2 linked regions of the Ovis aries genome follow. The protein of the gene in region 2 purifies or fractionates together with the protein of the main gene of each other region. This does not show direct contact. Links are inferred from orthologs where the notes say so. Each region holds a gene or a part of one and is shown on either strand. Other genes may lie near its edges. The genes, in order: ASF1B and CDAN1.

The links.
Region 1: the proteins of CDAN1 (region 2) and ASF1B purify together in Homo sapiens (co-immunoprecipitation; 5 studies listed by BioGRID and IntAct, counting the BioPlex papers as one, with this or other methods). This does not show direct contact. The link is inferred for Ovis aries from reciprocal best matches to the Homo sapiens genes CDAN1 and ASF1B.

What each region holds. Positions count from the first base shown.
Region 1 is NC_056058.1:9,896,643-9,906,381, reverse strand, and holds the start of ASF1B (histone chaperone ASF1B), read right to left. Parts: upstream 5,058-9,739; 5' UTR 4,938-5,057; coding exon 4,829-4,937; intron 1-4,828. UniProt on the Homo sapiens protein: Histone chaperone that facilitates histone deposition and histone exchange and removal during nucleosome assembly and disassembly. Cooperates with chromatin assembly factor 1 (CAF-1) to promote replication-dependent chromatin assembly.
Region 2 is NC_056060.1:36,248,453-36,257,673, forward strand, and holds part of CDAN1 (codanin-1), read right to left. Parts: coding exon 9,200-9,221; intron 8,966-9,199; coding exon 8,478-8,965; intron 8,265-8,477; coding exon 8,061-8,264; intron 7,865-8,060; coding exon 7,695-7,864; intron 7,579-7,694; coding exon 7,465-7,578; intron 7,383-7,464; coding exon 7,304-7,382; intron 6,887-7,303; coding exon 6,766-6,886; intron 6,588-6,765; coding exon 6,478-6,587; intron 6,015-6,477; coding exon 5,925-6,014; intron 5,006-5,924; coding exon 4,930-5,005; intron 4,464-4,929; coding exon 4,258-4,463; intron 3,953-4,257; coding exon 3,832-3,952; intron 3,705-3,831; coding exon 3,558-3,704; intron 3,460-3,557; coding exon 3,293-3,459; intron 2,900-3,292; coding exon 2,812-2,899; intron 2,567-2,811; coding exon 2,477-2,566; intron 2,289-2,476; coding exon 2,234-2,288; intron 2,023-2,233; coding exon 1,889-2,022; intron 1,806-1,888; coding exon 1,702-1,805; intron 1,442-1,701; coding exon 1,283-1,441; intron 936-1,282; and 6 more. UniProt on the Homo sapiens protein: May act as a negative regulator of ASF1 in chromatin assembly.

The sequences.
Region 1 (9,739 bases), on a different chromosome or scaffold from region 2:
CCGAGGATTGAACCCTGAGCCCCCCCGCATTGGAAGCTTGGCATCTCAGCCACTGGACCACCGGGGAAGTCGCAGGGCACCCAACTTCGGAAGCACAGCAATGCCGGGCCACAACTATGGGGGCCTGTCACCTGAGCTCCACGCCCTTCCTCGATACGCTGGTTTCCTGCCCTTTCACAGCTGACACCCGGCCTTCTACTCAGGGACCTTATCAGGTCTACAGGATGTGGGTGGCCATTGGACTGAACTGGGCTTCAGTCAAAGCCCATTCTCTTACTTGCAGGAAGGAGTTAAGCTTACTGATTTATTTTTGCTACAAGTAGTGACACAACCCAAAATAACACGTTTTTGGATGAACAGAAAACAAGCTAGCCCTGTTCTCACCTTTCTGACACAGTTCTATCATCTGGTGTCTTTCCTTCTGGCCGCCTTCCCCATCATCAGTGGAGTCACATATGTGCGCACTTAACTAACGTGTTGCATTATGTGCTCAGTGGCTAAGCTGTGTCCGACTCTTGTGACCCCATGGACTGTAGCCCTCCAGGCTCCTCTGTCTGTGGAATTCTCCAGGCAAGAATACTGGAGTGGGTTGCCATTTCCTCCTCCAGGAGATCTTCCCAACCCAGGATCAAACCCGAGTCTCCTGCATTGGCAGGCAGATTCCTTTACCACTGAGCCACCTGGGAAGCATGACTAACGTGCTGAGGGTGGATACAAAAGGGAAATTTTAATAGAATAGGGCCTAGTGTATGCGACTGGCACTCAGTTTTCAACGCTGTTGACAACGGAGTTCCCTGGTTGCCTAGTGGTTAGGATTTCCGTCTTCCACTGCTGTGGCCTGGTTGTCAGGGAACTGAGATCCCAAATTTGGCACGGAATGGCCCAAACCCAAAAACACCTGTTGGCAAAACCTAAACAAGCCTGTGTGGGTGCAGACTGGAAGAGAGAAACGCAGGTGGTCAGGCGAATGGGTTGAAGTGGTTCCCAGTACTCAGGTCAGAAAGAAACCAGAGAATTAACCAAGGCCGACAATACTCACTCAGGAATTAAGGAGCTGAGGGACTTCCCTGGTGGTCCAGTGGCTAAGATTCCGAGCTCCCAATGCAGCGGGCCCAGGTTCAATCCCTGGTTGGGGAACTAGACCCCACATGCTGCTAATAAGAGTTCGCATGTCACAACTAAAGAGATTCCGCATACTGTGACTAAGACTCGGGGCAGTCAAATAAATAAATAAATATTAAAAAAAAATAAGTTAAAGAGTTTATAAAATCATCTATGGAAGATGGAAGATGACTAAAACAAGGACTCTTAAGCAGAGGCATCCTGAAATGACTTCACTTTTTTGAATGAGCTGTGAGGACGTCAATCACAAACAGCACAAATTCATTCCTGCTGAATATGAATTAAGGTCGCACATGTGTAACGTATGCCTAGCCTTCTAAGTAATTCCAAGGGTAAATGGATTCCATTGTTTTGACTTTATGCCTTAACTTTATCATCTAACCACTGCACAAAATGCTCCTCCACTATGTATGAAAACAAAATCCAGACCAACGGTATGATGAAAAACATAAAAAAAATTACGGTAGTTGAACTAGCAGGAGAATCTGTTTCCTGTCCCCCCCAAAACACAAACAGGACTACCCTGGTGGCACGGTAGATAAGACTCCACCTGTAATGCAGGAGACACAGGCTCCATCCCTGGTCCAGGATGATCCCAACAGGTCTCAGGGTAACCAACTCCATGCGCCGCAACCACTGAGCCCGTGTGCCACAGCTACTGAAGTCTGCTCATCCTAGGGCCCAGGCTCCACAACAAGAGAAGCCTCCTGCAATGAGACACCCAAGCACCATGACGAAGAGTAGCTCCTGCTCCCAACTAGAGAAAGCCCAAGTGCAGCAATGAAGACCCATCGTAGCCACACACACACAAGTCCCAAACAATCAAAAAAACAACAAAACAACCCCAACCCCAACAACTTATCTAGTATGCCTTTTTCTGTTTATCACTTTCCCTTTGTTCATAATACAGTTGAACCTTGGCCTGACCACAGCGTGTTCGGTGTAGGTCAGAAAATCTGGCTCTAAGACTTGTTCAGGCAGTATCTCATGAATCTCTCAACTAAACTGGGGGAAAACACACCCAATGTATTGAATACAGACCCAGGCCTTGGACGCATCTATTTCCACATGCTGCTGAGCGGGGAGAGGGAGAGAGAGTTAAAACATTTCAGAGCCCTTGAGAAATGGCTCAGAGTTGGGGCTGGGTGTTCAGATCTTCAGTTACCAGGTAATAAGGCTGACTGAGAATTTCTCCAGAATCTAAGAGACTTCTAAAGCCAGGCCTACTCCATTTGTTTGGGAGGCAGGAGACAAATCCTTTCTGCTCTGTGGGAAGAGGCAGAAAGCATGTTGACAGGTCAGAGTGAAGCACAGCCCTACAGGTACAACCAGAGAGTGTAGACTTCCAGGCCAGAGTTGGCTTTCCAACTGGAATTCTTCTGAGCAAAAGCTTTATTGTTCAGGTATAATTAATAATAAGACCCTGTTGCCCTCTTCTGTCCTGTTTATGTCTCACTTCTAAAATAGTGGGTGCATTCTTTTCCAGTTTATAGCAAAGATAAAGAACCCTGGACTCAGAACTCAGAAACAAGACCTAGTTGTGAATAATTCTACACACCAGCTGTGTGACCTTGGAAAAATCATTTTGTTTCCATTAGAAAAATAATGACCTTGGGGAAAGAAAGAACTGTCTTTAGGGATTTCCCTGGTGGTCCAGTGGTTAAGAATCCACCTGCCAAAGCAGGGGACATGGGTTTGATCCCTGGTCCGGGAAGACCTTACATGCTGTGGAGCAACTACTCCCGAGCGCTCCAATTACTGAAGCCTGCTCACCTAGAGCCTGTGCCCCTCAACAAGAGAAGCCACCGCAGCAAGAAGTCCAATGCACCACAACGAAGAGTAGTCACTGCTCACCCCAACTAGAGAAAGCCTGAGCAAAGCACCGAAGATCTAGCTCAGCCAAAAATAAATAAATCTTAAACAAAATATAACACAAATAAAAAACAATGACCAGCAGGTTGACTTTAGACTCTCCTGATTCTATAAACAGATTAATAAAGTAACAGGGCAGTAGCTTTGCAGGAATGAAAGTACTAGATAATGACCATGCAACCATTTTTAAATGCCAGGAGCTCAAACAGGCTGATTGAAACCCGATCTCCTGCCATCTGGGAACTATGAATCCCTTGAACTATTAGCTCCTTACATCTCCTGGCTTTAAAATTAAATCTTATTCCACAGGGTCATTCTACACTTTATTTATTTATTTACACCCCGCCTTGTTCCAGAAAGGATTTAACTGGGCATATTCTATAGTTAGTCATAAGTAGAATGACTCCTTGATTTAAAAACGAGAGAAAGCAGGGAGTGATCCAATGGCCCCACCCAAGCACACATCAAAACTCTTCAACCCCATGTTAGTTGGAGAAGCCCATTTGTAGGCAAACCACCCACCAACCACTGAGAACGACTAGTTTAGCACACCCTTGCCTTCCAGATCTCTACCTCCTTAGAGGCTGCCTCTTCTCTTCTAACCACCAAGTAGAGAAGACATCTAATGGAAGTACTTCCTCCTGAAAGTGGTGCCAAGACTCGCTGAACAACCTTAGCCTTTCTGGTTTTTATAGGCCTTTACTTGAAAGGTCTTTTACTCTGTCTCCCGCCTTCTCATCTGTGAGATGAGAGCCATGTCCGCCTTTTGTCACAGGGATGAATAAGCACATCTGTGAAAGCACCTTGGAAAAGGTGCACAAAAGGCTGTGACCTCCCAGATTGAAGCCAAACATCACCATGGCTCGGCCTGGCACACCCACCCCACACCGCGCAAGTCGAGGTCAGGCCATCAAAAGTGTTGCAAGCTTTGCTGCAGTGGGTCAGCAGGAATCCAGCAGGCCAACAGCAGGAACCAGCTAACGTGTGCCTGGCCATGCCACTCCTCAGATCTGAGTGTGTTCATTGAAGCCCACAGTCAGGGAAGAGGAAGGAAGAGGAGCTGGGGAGACCAGATCATCCTCAAACACTGGAGCAGGAAGCCAGGTCATGCCTCTCTTGAGGAAGTAGAGGGTTGGGGCCAGACTAAGGAGGGAAGCCAGTTTCTAGGGTATGTGTTTTGAGGTAGGAAACAAGCTGAAGGGGGGTAGGGTGGGGTTAAGTATCAGCAGGTAGGGGATATTATGGGGAGACAAATGGGGAGATAAGGATGTGTGAGGTCTTGCCAGAGGGCGAGGATCTTCACAGGGAAAATGAGGGAGGAGGCTGCGGTTTTCATATGGGACACGGGAGGGGGCTAGAGCTTACATCTCCACAGGAAAAGAGTGAGGTGGAAGTGTCTCACCACAGGGGAGAGGGGATTGGTGGGGGAGGATTGGGTGGCTGGAATGGTAGTCTGTCCATACAGAAACAGAAGATGGGGGGTTTCTTGCTACAAGGAAGATGGGAAGGCTGAGGGTCTCTGCAGGTTAAAGAACTGAGGCTGAGGTCTCTACACAGAAAACAGATGCTCAGGAGGAACGCCCAGGAGAAAGAGGAGGATGAAGTGGTCTCCATGAGGGGAAAAGAGGAGTAACCATGGGGGTGGGGTGCGGTGGGTAGTCTCCAAGGGGCGGGGTTGGGGCTGGTGGGCGGGCTTTGGTTCAAGGGAGATCGCGGTTGGGGGAGGGGGAGGGGGAGAGGAAGTGTGTTTGGCAGGGTTGGCCTCGGGGTTGTCTGCAAAGGGAGGTCGGGGTTAGCTCAGGGGAGTGGGGTCTCCACAAGGGCCCAATCTCACCGTCTGCCAGGGCCTCATTGCACTCAAAGCTGATCTCGAACCGGAAAGGGCTGTGGAAAGGGCTCGGATTCTCCAGCACCGCCACGTTCAATACTGACACTTTAGCCATCGCCTCGTCGGGTCACGGCTGAGGCCAGAGCTGGGGCCGAGCCCGCGCCTGGGTCCTGTCGGGTCAGCGGCGAAGCTCTGCCCAAACCCGCTCCCGCCTCCTCTGACCGCGATCTGAAGTGCGTATCTAGTCCGCGCGCCTCCTTCAAATAGCCGGCTCTCACCCTACGGCCAATCACCGTCAACGCTCCACGACTGCGCGAGTGCTTCCTCAGCCAATCCTGGAGCGCCGGTCGGCGCGCGCCGAGACTCCCGAGACCAATCCGTGGAGCTCCATCTCAGGGATGAGCGAGGGAGGCGGGACCGTCTCTAGGCTTCTTTGGTGTCCGCGGGGAACCAATCCCCAGAGTCTCCGACTCGGACGTCCAGGGAGGGGTGGGCGGGGTCAGAGCGCCTGGCTCTTCTTGGCCAATCCCTAGGGTCCCCGCACCAGCGTGGTCCGCGATTAGCCCCGCCTTTCCGGGAGACTCTTCCAGCTGGGGGCAGCGCAGTCAACCGCCGAGTGGTGGCGCACAGCGCTCGCTTAAGCGGGAAGGAAGGGACGTGCTGGACTTGCAGTGATTGGCAGGCAGAAATGGGGCGGAGATAAAGCAGGTTTCCTGAGAGGTGATTGGCTGAGTTGGCTGCGGGGGCGGGAGAAGAGAAGACGCGGCCGGGGATTCGTGGAAGTGGAGCGGAAGTCGGCCGCTGACGCGGTTGAGCAGAGTGTGAAGAGAAAGGAGCAGCGTTTGCGGCATCGGCATCTGTCAGCAGGTGAGCGTTGCCGGAAGTTTCTCTAAGGGGCTCCTGGCCCCGCAGACCCGGCAGGCTGGGCGTCCGTTGTGAACGTTGTGAACGTTTAACTCACCCTTGAGCGCAGACGGTGCCGCGCTAACGCGGCGCTCTGGGGCCCGGGACCCGGTAGTCGGGCCTGGTTCGAATCAGGTTCTTACTTGAGAGCCCCTGGGGAGGTTTCAGGTGGACGGCGCTGAATGGGATTTCGAATCCGGCCTCTGCCACGCACCACCCGAGGCCTCATTTCCCTGCTCATTGAACGGGGTGATGAAATTTTACTGGCCTGACTTATGACTACATAATACATCTAGAAACTTCTTTCCACTCCCAGGCGTAGGCGGGACCACCGTCGCCCCCTGTCTGGAAGACTCGAGGGGCCGCCGCATTCCTTTAGTCCGCTTCCACGGGCGTCAACAAACCTAATCTTAAACTTTTCTATAGTAGCCACGTTACATATATATATATAAATATATTAAACTTAATGTAGTATAGCCAGAATATCATTTCAACATGTGATCGGTATTAAAAAAAAACAAACACGAACCTGAGGTATCTTTATTTTGTTACCTAGTACTAACGGTTTGAAAACCTGTGTATTTTACACGTTACACCACAGCTGTGATCCGGACGCTAGGTTTTCACCGGAAATAGTTGAGGTTTCATAAAATTTACAGTTGAAATGGAGATTCACATGCCCAAGTGTTTCCCAACATACGTTAAAATTTCCCATGAACTCAATCTCATGTCGGTGATAAATTGAAATATTAATTAATGAAAGTTAAGCGACGTGGAATGTTCTGTTTCACAGTGGCACTAGCCACACTGAGGTGCTTGTCATCCCCTGTGGCTTCCGATATTGGATAGCCAAAACCAACTTCAGCCAAACTGACCTTTTTGTTTCATAAAATCTGACATGACACCCCCCACCTCTTTTCTGGTGCCTCCTTGTTATTCAAGTCTCTGCTCAAATTTCTTCGGAGAATCCAAGAGCCCCCTGGACAACATTCAAATTCGTGGAACATAAGCCTGAACGGTACATTTCAAGCCACTAGGATTTCTTATCCATCCACCTCTGTGGCCTCGTGATGCTCAGAATATTCTCTCTCTTTTTTTTTTTTTTTTTTTGTATCTCCATCTCAAGTAGGATTGAAAGGATTCTTCCCCTCATTGAAACGATTTGGCTGCAAGAAAATTCCCATTATGATTGGCTCTGGGTTCTTGGCAGTCATTGGGCATCCTTAGGAATTTTTGTGACTTGAGAAGGTCAAATTTTCAAATTATTTCCAAATGTAATTCAATTGCTTATGCATATGAACTTTGATGAAGTTGTTATATTTTGTTTTCTAGATATTAAACATTTTACTCATTACAACTTTGTAGTTTTCTTTCTGCATTGTGGAACTTTTTTTCTTTCATTCTCAGCCCCAACCTTTTCATAGCCCCTGAAAAGTTCATCAGTCACAAGTATTATGTCTCTGTCTATAATGCCTTCTCCCTACAGCTGGCTGAATAATCTTCAGTTGTAAACTAGATCATGTCATTACTCTGCTTAAAACCTTCAAAGGCTTATCATACTTAGGATGAAACTTAAGATCTTCACTGTGGCTTAGGAGGCCCTGCACAGTGGCCTCAACTGACCTCATCTGCCAGTCTCCCTCTTGTCACCACTCCCAAGCCCTCCTGGCTTTATTTCCTGTCTTTCAACACACCAAACTTGATTCCTGCTGCCTGGCTTTGCAGTTGCTCTTCCCTCTGCCTGGAACGTGCTTCCTTTAGCTAATTGCTTGTCTGTCTCATTCTCATCATATATGGTTCACCCCAGATGTCTCTCCAAAAGAAGCCTTCTTGGACCATCCTAGTTAAAGTAGACCTTCATTTATCACAAAAGCCTGCTTATTAGGAGCACTTGCTAGAATCTGTAGATATGTTTTTTTTTTTTTGCTCCGCTGCATGGCTTGCGGAATCTCAGTTCCCTGACTGGGGATTGAACCTGGGCCACAGCAGTGAAAGCCTCAAATGCTAACCGCTAGAACACCAGGGAACTCTTGTCGTCCCTCAGTAGACTGAAAGCTGGTTGAGGACAGTGATCCCACCTGTCTCATACAGACCTCTCAGTTAGGACCTCACATGTAGAAAGTTTTCAGTAGATTGTTTTTAAAAAAGAGTAAATCCTTATAAAGGGCTTACATGGTACCTGGAATGTGAAAACTACTTCATAAACAAGAAACAGCAGTGCATAGCCATCATTTTTCTTACGTAGTATTTCAGGTGTACTCACTCAGAAGAAGAAATGCTATAACAAAGTACATTTTTACTCCTTACCCAGCTTAAGAAGTGAAACATTAGTGATGCAATTGAAAGGCCGTATATATCCCTGCCTCAAACCTATTCCTCCCCTCTTTTCAGATGTAACTACAATCTTGGATTTAGTGTTTATCTTTCTGTACATGCTTGTATATCTTTGATAGGTGTCTTCGAACTATATATAGTATTGTATGTCACGTTCTACAACTTTATGGAAATGCTGCTGCTGCAAAGTCTGGAGAAAACCAGGCAGAAGCTTCCACAAGTCCTTTCCTGGTGAAGTCACATGGGACTCCCTGAGTTCCCACAGCAGAGCTGTGACACCACGTGTGACATGTCTACCGGGAAAGCTCGGCACCTAGGGTAGCTGGGGCGGGAGGGGGCTGATCAAGTTTCAGACTTCCAGACTCCAGAAGGAAAGCAGGTGTTGGACCCAAACCGCATTGTACAGTTTAGGCACCGCGAGCCACTTGTGTCATTTAGGGAATGGTGGGAACTCTCCATTCACTTCAGTCACTTCACTCTTGTCCGTCTCTGCGACGCTATGGACTGTAGCCCCCCAGGCTCCTCTGTTCACGGGATTCCCCAGGCAAGAATATTAGAGTGGGTTGCCATGCCCGCCTCCAAGGGATCTTCCTGACCCAGGGATCAAACCTGCGTCTCCTGCACTGGCAGGCAGAGTTCTTTACCACTAGCATCACCTGGGAAGCCCTGCAGAAGATACCTGTGCGCAAAAGAGTTAACTGTATCAGGCCTGAGACCACTGTCCTTAGAAAGGCCTATTTGCAAGGTTGGCCCCGGCTGGTGTATAGGAACTTGGATTTCAGGAGAGTTCCCACCATTCCCTAAATGATACAAGTGGCTTGCGGTGCCTAAACTGTACAAACAATGTGATTTAGGTCCAACACCTGCTTTCCTTCTGGAGTCTGGAAGTTTGAAACTTGATCAGCCCCCTCCTGCCCCAGCTACCCTAGGTGCCGAGCTTTCCCGGTAGGCATGTCACACGTGTTGCCACAGCTCTGCTGTGGGAACTCAGGGAGTCCCATGTGACTTCACCAGGAAAGGACTTGTGGAAGCTTCTGCCTGGTTTTCTCCAGACTTTGCCCCATGCTCCTTTTCTCTTGGCTGATTTTGCTTTGTGTCCTTTCACAGTAAGAAATCATACCATGGGAAATTCCCTGGCAGTCCAGTCATTAGGACTCCGTGGTTCCATGGCAGAGGGCATGGTTTCAGTTCCTGGTCAGGGAACCAAAAACAAAAACCCAAACAGAATCATACCTTGAGTAGGCTAGATGCTGAATTCTATGAATCCTCTTCATGAATCATAGAAGCTAGGGGTTATCTTAGATTCCCAAAGCAGTGCCATACCAGACATACCCCATCAGGGCTGGCATTAAGGGGAGGAAAAGCAAGGGCACAACATTTAAGGAGACATACCCTCCAAGTCACACAAGTGCCAACCTGTGCTTGCATAACTCTGAAGGCAAGTGCCTCCTACAATTTTGTCGAGACACCTAGCTTGCCTCTGTTGCCAGCCCTGCCTTCTGAAACTTGCCTTTTTTTGGTCACACATAATACTTTAAAGATGTGTTTGTGACACATGTGTAGCTCCAGCCGTTTGTTTTCCCTGCTGCATAGCTGTGCTGTGTGATGCGGTAGCCATTAGCCGTGGGTGGCTTTTTTTTTTTTTTTTTTTTTGCAGTTAATCCAAATTAAATGAAAAAC
Region 2 (9,221 bases):
TCCACTCCCGATATCATCTATGTACCATGTACTCAGTCAACAATTTTCACATCTACCCTCTTCCCTTTTACCCTTTTGGGTGATTCAAGTACAAAAGTCAGAGAAAAGCAATTACTAAAACCATTCAATTCCATTTAGCCCTGCCTAACTCCATTCAGTTAACAAAATGGAAACTAGCTGGACAACACAGAAAGCTGCTACACAAATACTGGAGCTGAGGAAGAAAGAAGGGCAACTAGGAAAAGAGCAGGGAGCAGGAGGAGGGGAGCCGAAGGGAGTAGGGAGCTGTGTACTTTTATCTCGGAGATGAGGTGGGAGGGGAGGGGAGCATGGTGCTCACAGGCACGGGAGCAGCCCCTCCGCTCCCCCCGGGCAGCTGGCTCAGGACCCTGGGCGCGAAGCGTGCGACTCACGGCCGCTTTCACCTCCCTTCTGATCAGTGCTGCAAGTCAGAGGGAGGACAGAGAAGAGTCACCAAAGCAGCCCTGCATAGGCTCACCATGCCAACCCCTGCCCTTCCCTGTTGCCAACTGGCCCTGAGTCCTGTCTTCCCCCAAGTGGCCTCCAACTTCCTGCCAGTCCACTCGAAAAACTTGGTCAGTTACTCCCCTTCCCTGGACCTTACCTGTGATGTTGGCTGACAACCATGCACAGGCTTTCTCTGTTGCGAGGCTCACAGCAATGTTCTCTGCACTGCTTAGAACCTGTGACACAGAAGTAGTTTTGAGTCAGGGGCAAGTTAGGACAGTGGTGAATGCCCAAGTCCAAGACTGGCCCGCCCACCACCTCATGTGCATGTTGACACACACAGCCCCACAGCACTGCTCTCCCACCAGCCCAGCCCACCACCCCAGGACTACTTCCTACGTACGGCTGCCGGAGTCTCCTCAGGAAGCAGTGCCCTCACGGCACCTGGGCTCTTCTTTTGGCAGAACCTGAAAGGAGACAGAGGTCAGTGATGTCTTGAGACATCAGCTGGGTCCCTGAGTGCACCAACTCCCTGAGCTGGGAGAGCTCTGCCACAGGGGAGGGCATGCTCAGCTCTCTGGCCCAGATGCCAGGAGATTGGACACCCAACCACATGCCTTTCCAATTCGACTCTAAACTTGGGTCCTTAAACCTCTAAAAACCAAGATAAGAGCCTACAGAGCAGGCAAAAATAGAATGACAAAAGCAGGGTGGGAGAAGACATGGAATAAACAATATAAGAAAAAAAAGGACAGGAAAGGAAAGGCTAAGAGCAGAGTGGAGATGAGAGGATCCCAACAGACTGGCATCTTACTCCCGCCCCTGGGTCAGCGCCTGGGCCCCGTGAGGGCACAGCTGGGAACACAAGATCTCCAACAGCTGGGCTGGATCGCCTCCTTCCTGTCCCTGGGTCACCAGCTGCTCTTGAAGAAGCGACTCTGCCTGGCGCACCAGCTCTGCCACCAGCGTGGCCCTGCAGCAGGAACAGCAAGATTTTGAGGTAGTTGGAAAGGCTGAATTGGAAAGGGGCTGCAAATTCAAGCAAACCAGGTCAGAACTAACTTGAAAGAATGTTAGCCATTTCAGCCTTCCCCATCCCACTGGGCCCCTGTCCCCACCCCTCAGCTGACTTTCCTCAGTTTGGCAACAAGGTGTTAAAAGGGGGAAAAGGATAAGGAAATGAGCCTGGGACCTGCAACACCTTCATTCCCAACCCCCTCAATTCAGACTCACTTGATATGCTTGACACAGTTAGAACCAATTCTCTCTGCCACGAACTCCACAGTCCTGCGCAGGGAGGGCGGCTGGTTGTGGAAAAAGGCTTGGGCCAGCTGTGCCTGTGGGGAGGAGGGAGCAGTGCAGGCAAGGGCTCCCTTTCCCTTACCCATGAGGTGGCCCTTGCTTCCACCCTGCCCCTTACCTGCAGCCCCTGTGTGGTCTGGGGAGGCTGGGCTCCCAGGCCCGTGGTGGTGGTGGGGGTGATTTTCCTGACGAGGCCCCCACTCCTTCCACTGCTGCCTGACACCCATGAAGCGAGCAGTTTGCGGAGCTCTCCTGCATCAGAGAAGCCCATGTGCTTAGTTCCAGAACTGTCCCACCCTCCCAAGCATCCAGACTAAGCATTTGTGGAATAGACAGAACGAGGCATCAGGGAGCGCCTAAGCACAAAACAAAGTACGAGGGTGCTGGGCCCATGGGATGCATTTTGGGTACTCATGAAGGGGCAGGCCAAGGACCAAGGACCCTTGGGGAAGAGTATCCTCACCAATATAAGGGCAGCAAGTGTAGAGCAGCTGCTGGTCCACCACAGGCATGCTGTCCTGCGGGAGACAACAGGTCAGTTTGCGGAAGGGAAGCTTCCCTTCCTCCCAGAAATGGGGCGGTCGGGTTAGAGAATTACGTGAGACTTCAGCCTCTATTCTGGCTTGTGTTTCTGGGCCCGCTGACAGGCAGGCTACCTCCTTTACTCTTGTGGTTCCCATGGCTCTGGCTGGACCCCAATACTTACCAAGCCATGCTCTGAGGCTACTGTGTCCACCTCAAAGACATCCAACTGACCCTCTTCCAGAAAGAATAGGTCCTCAGGGACTGTGGGAATCTGGCAAAAGATTAGGGGAGTGCCAGCCAGCACTTTAGGGATTCATCACACCTCCAACTTCATGGTTCCAGGGTTTAGACAACCAGGTTCAAAGCCACCTTCCTCTATGGCAACCCCATCTTTCCTCCTCTGAGCCTTTAGCGTCTGGTCCCGCTCTCTGTCAGAGTCCTACACTTTCCCTTTGCCCATTTCCAGCCACAGAAGTCATACCGCCTTTCCCCAACCTGGACCCTCATTCCACCAACCTGGAAAAGCCAGCCTAGGACAGCAAGCAGCAACAGCTTGTTCAGGAAACACATCTCCCCTTCACTTTCCTTTGATAAGACCAAGCTCCTAAAAGGTAAATGAGGGTGTGAGTGGAATCTGTGCAATGAGAGAAATGGAATGGAGTTAAAAAAAAAAAAAAAGCTATCACTGGGAAGGTGATTCTCAAAAGGAGACCTAAAAGGGACTGCTGTTGTGTAGGCAGCCATGTCTCATCACCTCTCCCAGACCTGTACTCACTCTTAGCTCGGCCACAGTAGGAACAGAAAAGGGCCAATCAAAGTGCAAATAACTGCCCACTGTCTGTCCTTGTGGATCAAGGCCTGGCCTTTCCCCTGAGGGTCAGCTATAGCTATGGAAGCACACAGGAAGCACAAGCTGCTTGGCCCTCTTCAAAAAGCAGCAGTCTCAACAACATTCTCCCTGCACCCTTTTCTCAAGCCTTGCCCTCTCTTGACTCACCGATGCAGGTGCAGCAGGAGAGTGAAGATGCTGCGGTAATAGTCCAGCATGGGGACAATGTGGTCAGCAAGAGAAAGGAACTCCACCAGCCAGGGCACTGTGAGCACTGCTCGGCGTGCCCGCAGCCCCTGCTGCAGCAGAGCTCGCACGTCCAGGACTGGGGGCACCTGGGAGGGCCAGGGTCAGTCAGGGGCTGGGGAAAGCCTTCTAACGCCATTGCCATGCGGCTCCTCCCAGCTCCCTCCTTACCAGCGCCCCCATTCACCTGGCTCCTCAGGGACAGAATGGAGTCCTGGAGCTCACGGGTCGGGGGTGGTTCAGGCCCACGGTATGGCAGGAAAGCGACAAAGCCCAAGAATTTGGCCAGAAGCCTTAGGCTGAGCAGCACCACAGCAAACTGCCTCCGTTCACCCTGCAGGCCATCAAGAAGTAAGAGGTCCTAAGCATTAGGCTTCTAGAACAAAACCACATCTGTTACAGACTTCTTGAAAATATCCTTTCCCCTCTAAAGCAAAGCCTCCTTTCTTCTGCTTTCTAACCTGCCAGTCCACGTCTGACTCCCCATCCTCATCACTAGGCTCAGGCTGAGGAAGGGCGAGGCTGTTGAGTTCTCGGATCTTCAAACTCAGACTATCCATGAGATGCTGATTAAACTGGAAGCTATGAAGGGAAGGGGGAAAAAAGGTACTGGAAGAGGTGCAGGAAGGATAATAGAGGTGGTGTTCCAGACAGAAAGGCTCAGTAGGGCAGACACAGGAGGTCAAGGAACAAGGAGTTTACCTTCATAGGTGAGAGAGTGAGAAGGGAAATGGAAGCAGGAAGTGTGGGTTAGAAGGAGGCTGGGCATCCCCCAGTCCCACCCACTGACATTCCAGGCCAAGAAGAGCAAACTCTTGCCCTTCTGGGAACACAAACCTCTTTTTCAGGCCTCTTCCCCCACTCTCGGCAAGACAGGGGACCTTTACCTGCTGGCACTCAAGATGAAGTCCCTGAAGAAGCCCTGACAGCCTGGGAAGGTAGGGGGTGGGCAGGGGCCCCCACTGCTCTGAGGGGCCACAAGCCGTTCCTGTAGGCGCCGCAACCGCCCCAGCTTGTCAGCTCCAAGCATATTTAACACATCCGGAGCCTCACCCAAGACAGTGCCCCCAGCACCACCAGGACTCTGACACATCTGGGGCAGGGGGAGGAGGAGAGAAATTGATAAACCAGTGAGTTTTTCTGGAAAGAAGGGGTGAAGAAAATGAGGAGGAAGCAGTGAACAATACGGGGTGCCCACCCTATATTGTGTGCCATAGATGTATTTTTTGAGGTCTGTGTTATATTCTTATTTTTACAGGTGAAGAAACTGAAATTTTAAGATTCAACATCTGCATAGGGTCACGAGGATTTGAAACCAGACCTAACCTTGCACTCTTTCTACCACACCACAAAGCAAGGGCAAGAAAGCAGGGAGGGACTGAAGGAGGGCCAGGAGAGCTGGGTGTGTGAGGGGGCCCACAGAGGAAGAGCAGAACTCTTGTTTACTCTTCAGCCAAGGACCTGCCTGTTCTCCTGTCCTGTCCCAAAGTGCCAGCCATTCCTTGGCACCTATAATACATACTGTCCACTGGAGACAGATCTCCTGCTGGAGCAATTACCTGGAGAAGTTGTTTCTGGAAAAGTCGAACAAAATGGCTGTGGCTGCAGGCCGCAGAGAGTTGACCCATCATGGCTCTGAGGAATAAGAGGCAGGGATGGAGTGTTATGGGAGGAAGAGGGGGAGAAAGATCTGAGAGAACAAGCCAATCCTTGAGACTTTCAGCCCTCTACCAGGGGCTTGAGCAGCCTTCTACCAGAGCTGGCTGGCACAAGGATATGGGAAAAGGTAAAGGATACTTTCCTTAGCACCAAGATCCCTCAAGGCTAGAGAGACACTTACTGAAACTGTCAGTCGCTCAGTCATGTCCGACTCTTTGCCACCCCATGAGCTGTAGCCTGCCAGGCTCCTCTGTCCATTGGGATCTCCCAGGCAAGAATACTGGAATGGGTTGCCATTTCCTTCTCCAGGGGATCTTCCTGACCCCGAGACAGAATCTGGGTCTCCTGCATTGCAGGCAGGTTCTTTACCATCTGAGCCCCCAGGGAAGCCCTTAACCTTACACTTAACCAAACATGAAATGAGACCACCCTTCTCCTCTTCAGTCTACACTGACTGCCAGTAAGCTTCATGACCAACGTGGATGGGAGATCACCAGACAAGAGGATATTCTTTCTGTATCCTAGTTATCCAGCTACACAAAGTTATCTTGTATTGTCAGATTAGATGATGGAGAAAATAGAGGTTGGAAAGGGTCTAAGCCAGTGACAGGCAAAAACTCACGCAACCTGGAATAAGAGTGTTCCACTTTATCAATCATTTGCAATCACAGAGCAAGTATAAATGATTTCTGAGTAGAAGGAGTTGGAGAAATAAATCCCTTTTGAGTAGAGGCAGAGGTGGCAGTAACTAAGAGATTAAGGAAGACAGAAAACAGCTTTGTGCTGGAAGGAGTTCGGGGTGGGGAGAGAAGCCTTTCTCTAATCAGTTACCCAAACACCACTAAGTTGCTCACTGCTGGAAGCAGGAAAAAGTGATCAGTGTATGAGCACATACCTGATCCTGCTGCCCAAGCCCTTCTCAAAATCCCAGCCAGGCTCCTCATGGCGATCTTCCCACTCTCGAAGTACCTCGTAAAACACATCCCTGGCAGACACATAAGATGTCTGATCAACTGAAGCACAGTTGGCTTAACTCATTCTCAGGAGTGCCTTCTCTAGCTCAGAACTGTAGACAGGACCATTCACAGCTCCATTGCTTATCCTCTCCAAGGTTCTCTATGTGATAATCCCACAGACCCGACAGTAGTACACCACATGCTTCACTTGCTTCTGTGGGCAGTTAAGGCTAATCTGGCACTCTCATCTGAGAACCCTGTGGCCAAAGTCATTACACTGCGAGAAAGCTGCTACTGTCAGAGGTGCGAGTCCATGGGTGTGAAAGAGAATGAGGCTAAGTGGCCCTTAAGATGTTTGCTAGGAAGGGCCTGGTGGTGCTAAACTACACCCGTTAGTGCCAAACATCTAGTTTCTATGAAAACAACATAGGCTGCCTATCCCGGAGAAAATGCTGCTTCATCCCCTCCCCCAGAGTCCCCTTTTCTTATCACCTCTGTTTTTTGAAAGTATGAAAGGCTCGGTCACTGGAGAAGTTAGCACGATTGTCAGTTTCTGGCTGAAAGGAGACAGCTTGAGCAGAAGGTGGCATCGCCAGAGAGACCTAAAACAGTGACATTAGGGACTGAAAGCAGAGTTCACGCTCAGAAAACTTCATCCCCATATTCTAGTCCAGAGTTTTAGGCCGCATGACACTACAGTGGTGTGAGCTGGGCCGCCTGGATTATGAGACTAGGAAGGGTCAGATCCAGGCTAGAAGATGTCTAAGATGGGGTCACTACCTTGGCGACACTGCCCTCATAGGCAGCTCGGAGGCGACCTTGCAGAGCCGGTGAGAAACACAGTAATCGCTCATTCTCAGCCAACAGCTTCAATGTCCCTTTGTCCAGGTGGGAGAGAACGCTGTACAGGGATAAGAGCACACATGACTGAGAATGGGACAGACTGCAAATAGGCAGCTGGCATCTGCACAGCACAGTGTGTTACCTGGAGCACAGAGCAGGTACATAAAAAAAAGAAAAGTCATGCGCCAAGGATTAAAGACGATAAAGGGAAAGGAAACGAGACCCTATGGAGCAGCTAATGATAGCAAAGCAGAAACAGTAAATAAACCCAAAGGTCAGCTACCAAAACTACTGGGGGCAGTTTGATTCTTTCAAGGGCTAAATTCATAGCTTTGACACGAAACTGAAGGGTTACATGTAGGAAAAGGCCTAGGGTCACTACATCTGTGTCAAGCACAAGCATGCCCCCGAAGTAGCCAGAGAATCAAGTGAATAATGTGAATAAGGTTCAAATGCCTCAGCGGGGGAAACTTACTGAAATTGATGTTCCAAAACCTGCACTGCAAAGAAGACACAATCATGGACACTCTGGAACAGAGGGCTTTCCAGGGAATCTAGAAGGACAGTACCAAGCTGTTGGTTAAAAACAATTTCATTTCCAGACATCATTTCTCAAAAAGAGGCTTGTTCACCAACCTACAGCTCCCGGAGTTGGTTCAAGGTCACTGTCTTTGGCAGCCACCATCCTCCGGGCAGTAAGGAGCTGAAGGACGAAGAAAAGCTCCAAGAAGAGGTTTGGTACCAGGTTCTCTGGTTAAAAAGGAAACTCCAGGGTATTGAACGCCAGTCAAAACAAAGGCTCAGTTCAATTCTTTTACCCTGTAGTTCTACAAGTGTCTTCATTCCAGGGCTCTGTTCTCACTCACCTGCAATGCATGAAGAGTAGACAAGGGCAACCAGCTCCAGACGGTGGCGGGAAGATACTCTGGTAGGGTCAGCGGGTTCAGCTGTGAGGTGTCCTGTCCGGCTGGGGTGAGGAGATCCTGGTTCTAGGGTGGGACAGGCAGGAGTAGGTGACTGCTGCAGCTGCTTAGAGCTACCGGGGAAAGAGAAACGTCATGAGCAGTCAGCATGGCTTCCCCTCCACAGCCACACTCAGGTTCCTTAGAGACCTGTCCACAGCCCAGGAAACAGACCCAGGGTTCCCAGGAGACAAATTAATCACAGGGAAAAGCCCTGCAAATCCCACCCCCCAAAGGAAGCTGACATCCCCAGGAGCAGCAAAGCCATACCGCTCCTTCCTGAGCATCTCCCGCTCCTCTTGCAGACTTCTGCACCCTGAGGGAATCCCATGGCCCCAAGGGCTAGTGTCTAGGACTGAGGGTTGGGAACTGGGAACACAGCTGATTGGGGGTGAGGTGAAGCAAGTCTTGGGCTTGGAAAGTGATCGCTCTTCGCTCACTGGAGTTGGGTTGATCCTGCGGGAAGGCTTGGTCCTGTTGAAAAGCAGCCATAGGTTTTCCTAATTCCCATCTTCAAGCATCTCCCCCTCCACCAAAACATCTAGCACCCCTTGCAAAATGCCCCTCACCACGTAGATATTTCACCCCCTACTTTCTTGTTATTACCACGCTCTACTACAGAGCACCCAGCCTTAATTTTTTAACTCCCCTAGCAGAGCCATATTTTAGATGAGGGCTAATTCTCACCCTGCAGAGCCGGGGGGAACGGAGCCCACGGGAGGGAACTCCTCCAGGTTGCTGAGGTTTGGCGGATCAGAGCGCGCGAGGCTGGGGCTGCTGGGGCTGCCAGAGCTCCTGGGCCTCCGGCCCCCGGCCCAGGGCAGGCACTCCCCGCTGACCCCCTCCTCCAGGCCCCCGGGGCCGCGGCCTCGCTCGCGGGCCGGCCCCGGGCCCCGCCTCCTGCCCCCACGGCGGGCCGAAGGGGCGTCAGCAGCGGTGGCGCTCGAAGCCTCGATCGGAGGGAAGAGCTGGTTGCGCGCTCCGCGGCCGCCCCGCGGCGGGCCCCCGGATCTCCCTGGCAAGCCTGTCGAGGAGCCCGGGGCCTTGGCGGGGGTTGGGGGGCCCTGCGGGAGGACGCGGCTGCTCTGTTCCCTCAGGAAGTTCAGCAGGAATGGCACGAATTCCTTCCGCAGTGGCCGAAGTGAGCTCAGCGCGGCCGCCTCCCTGGGGTCATCCTGAGGGAGAAGCGGCGAGGGGAGAGAGAGTCAGTCAGCTGCCAGCCCGGGGCCGCGAGCAGCCGGGGCCGCAGGGCGTGCTGAGGGTGGCGGGCGGCCGGGGCAGCGGCCCCTAGTTGGAGCGCACTCGGCCCCGGCTGACAGCCAGGCACTCTAGAGGAATGGGACGGGAGGAGCGGTATCTCCCGCGGGAAGCAGCTTCAGGCCAGGCTGGGGGCGTGTCGGCGCTGTTACCTCCGAACTCTGGGCGCTGCGC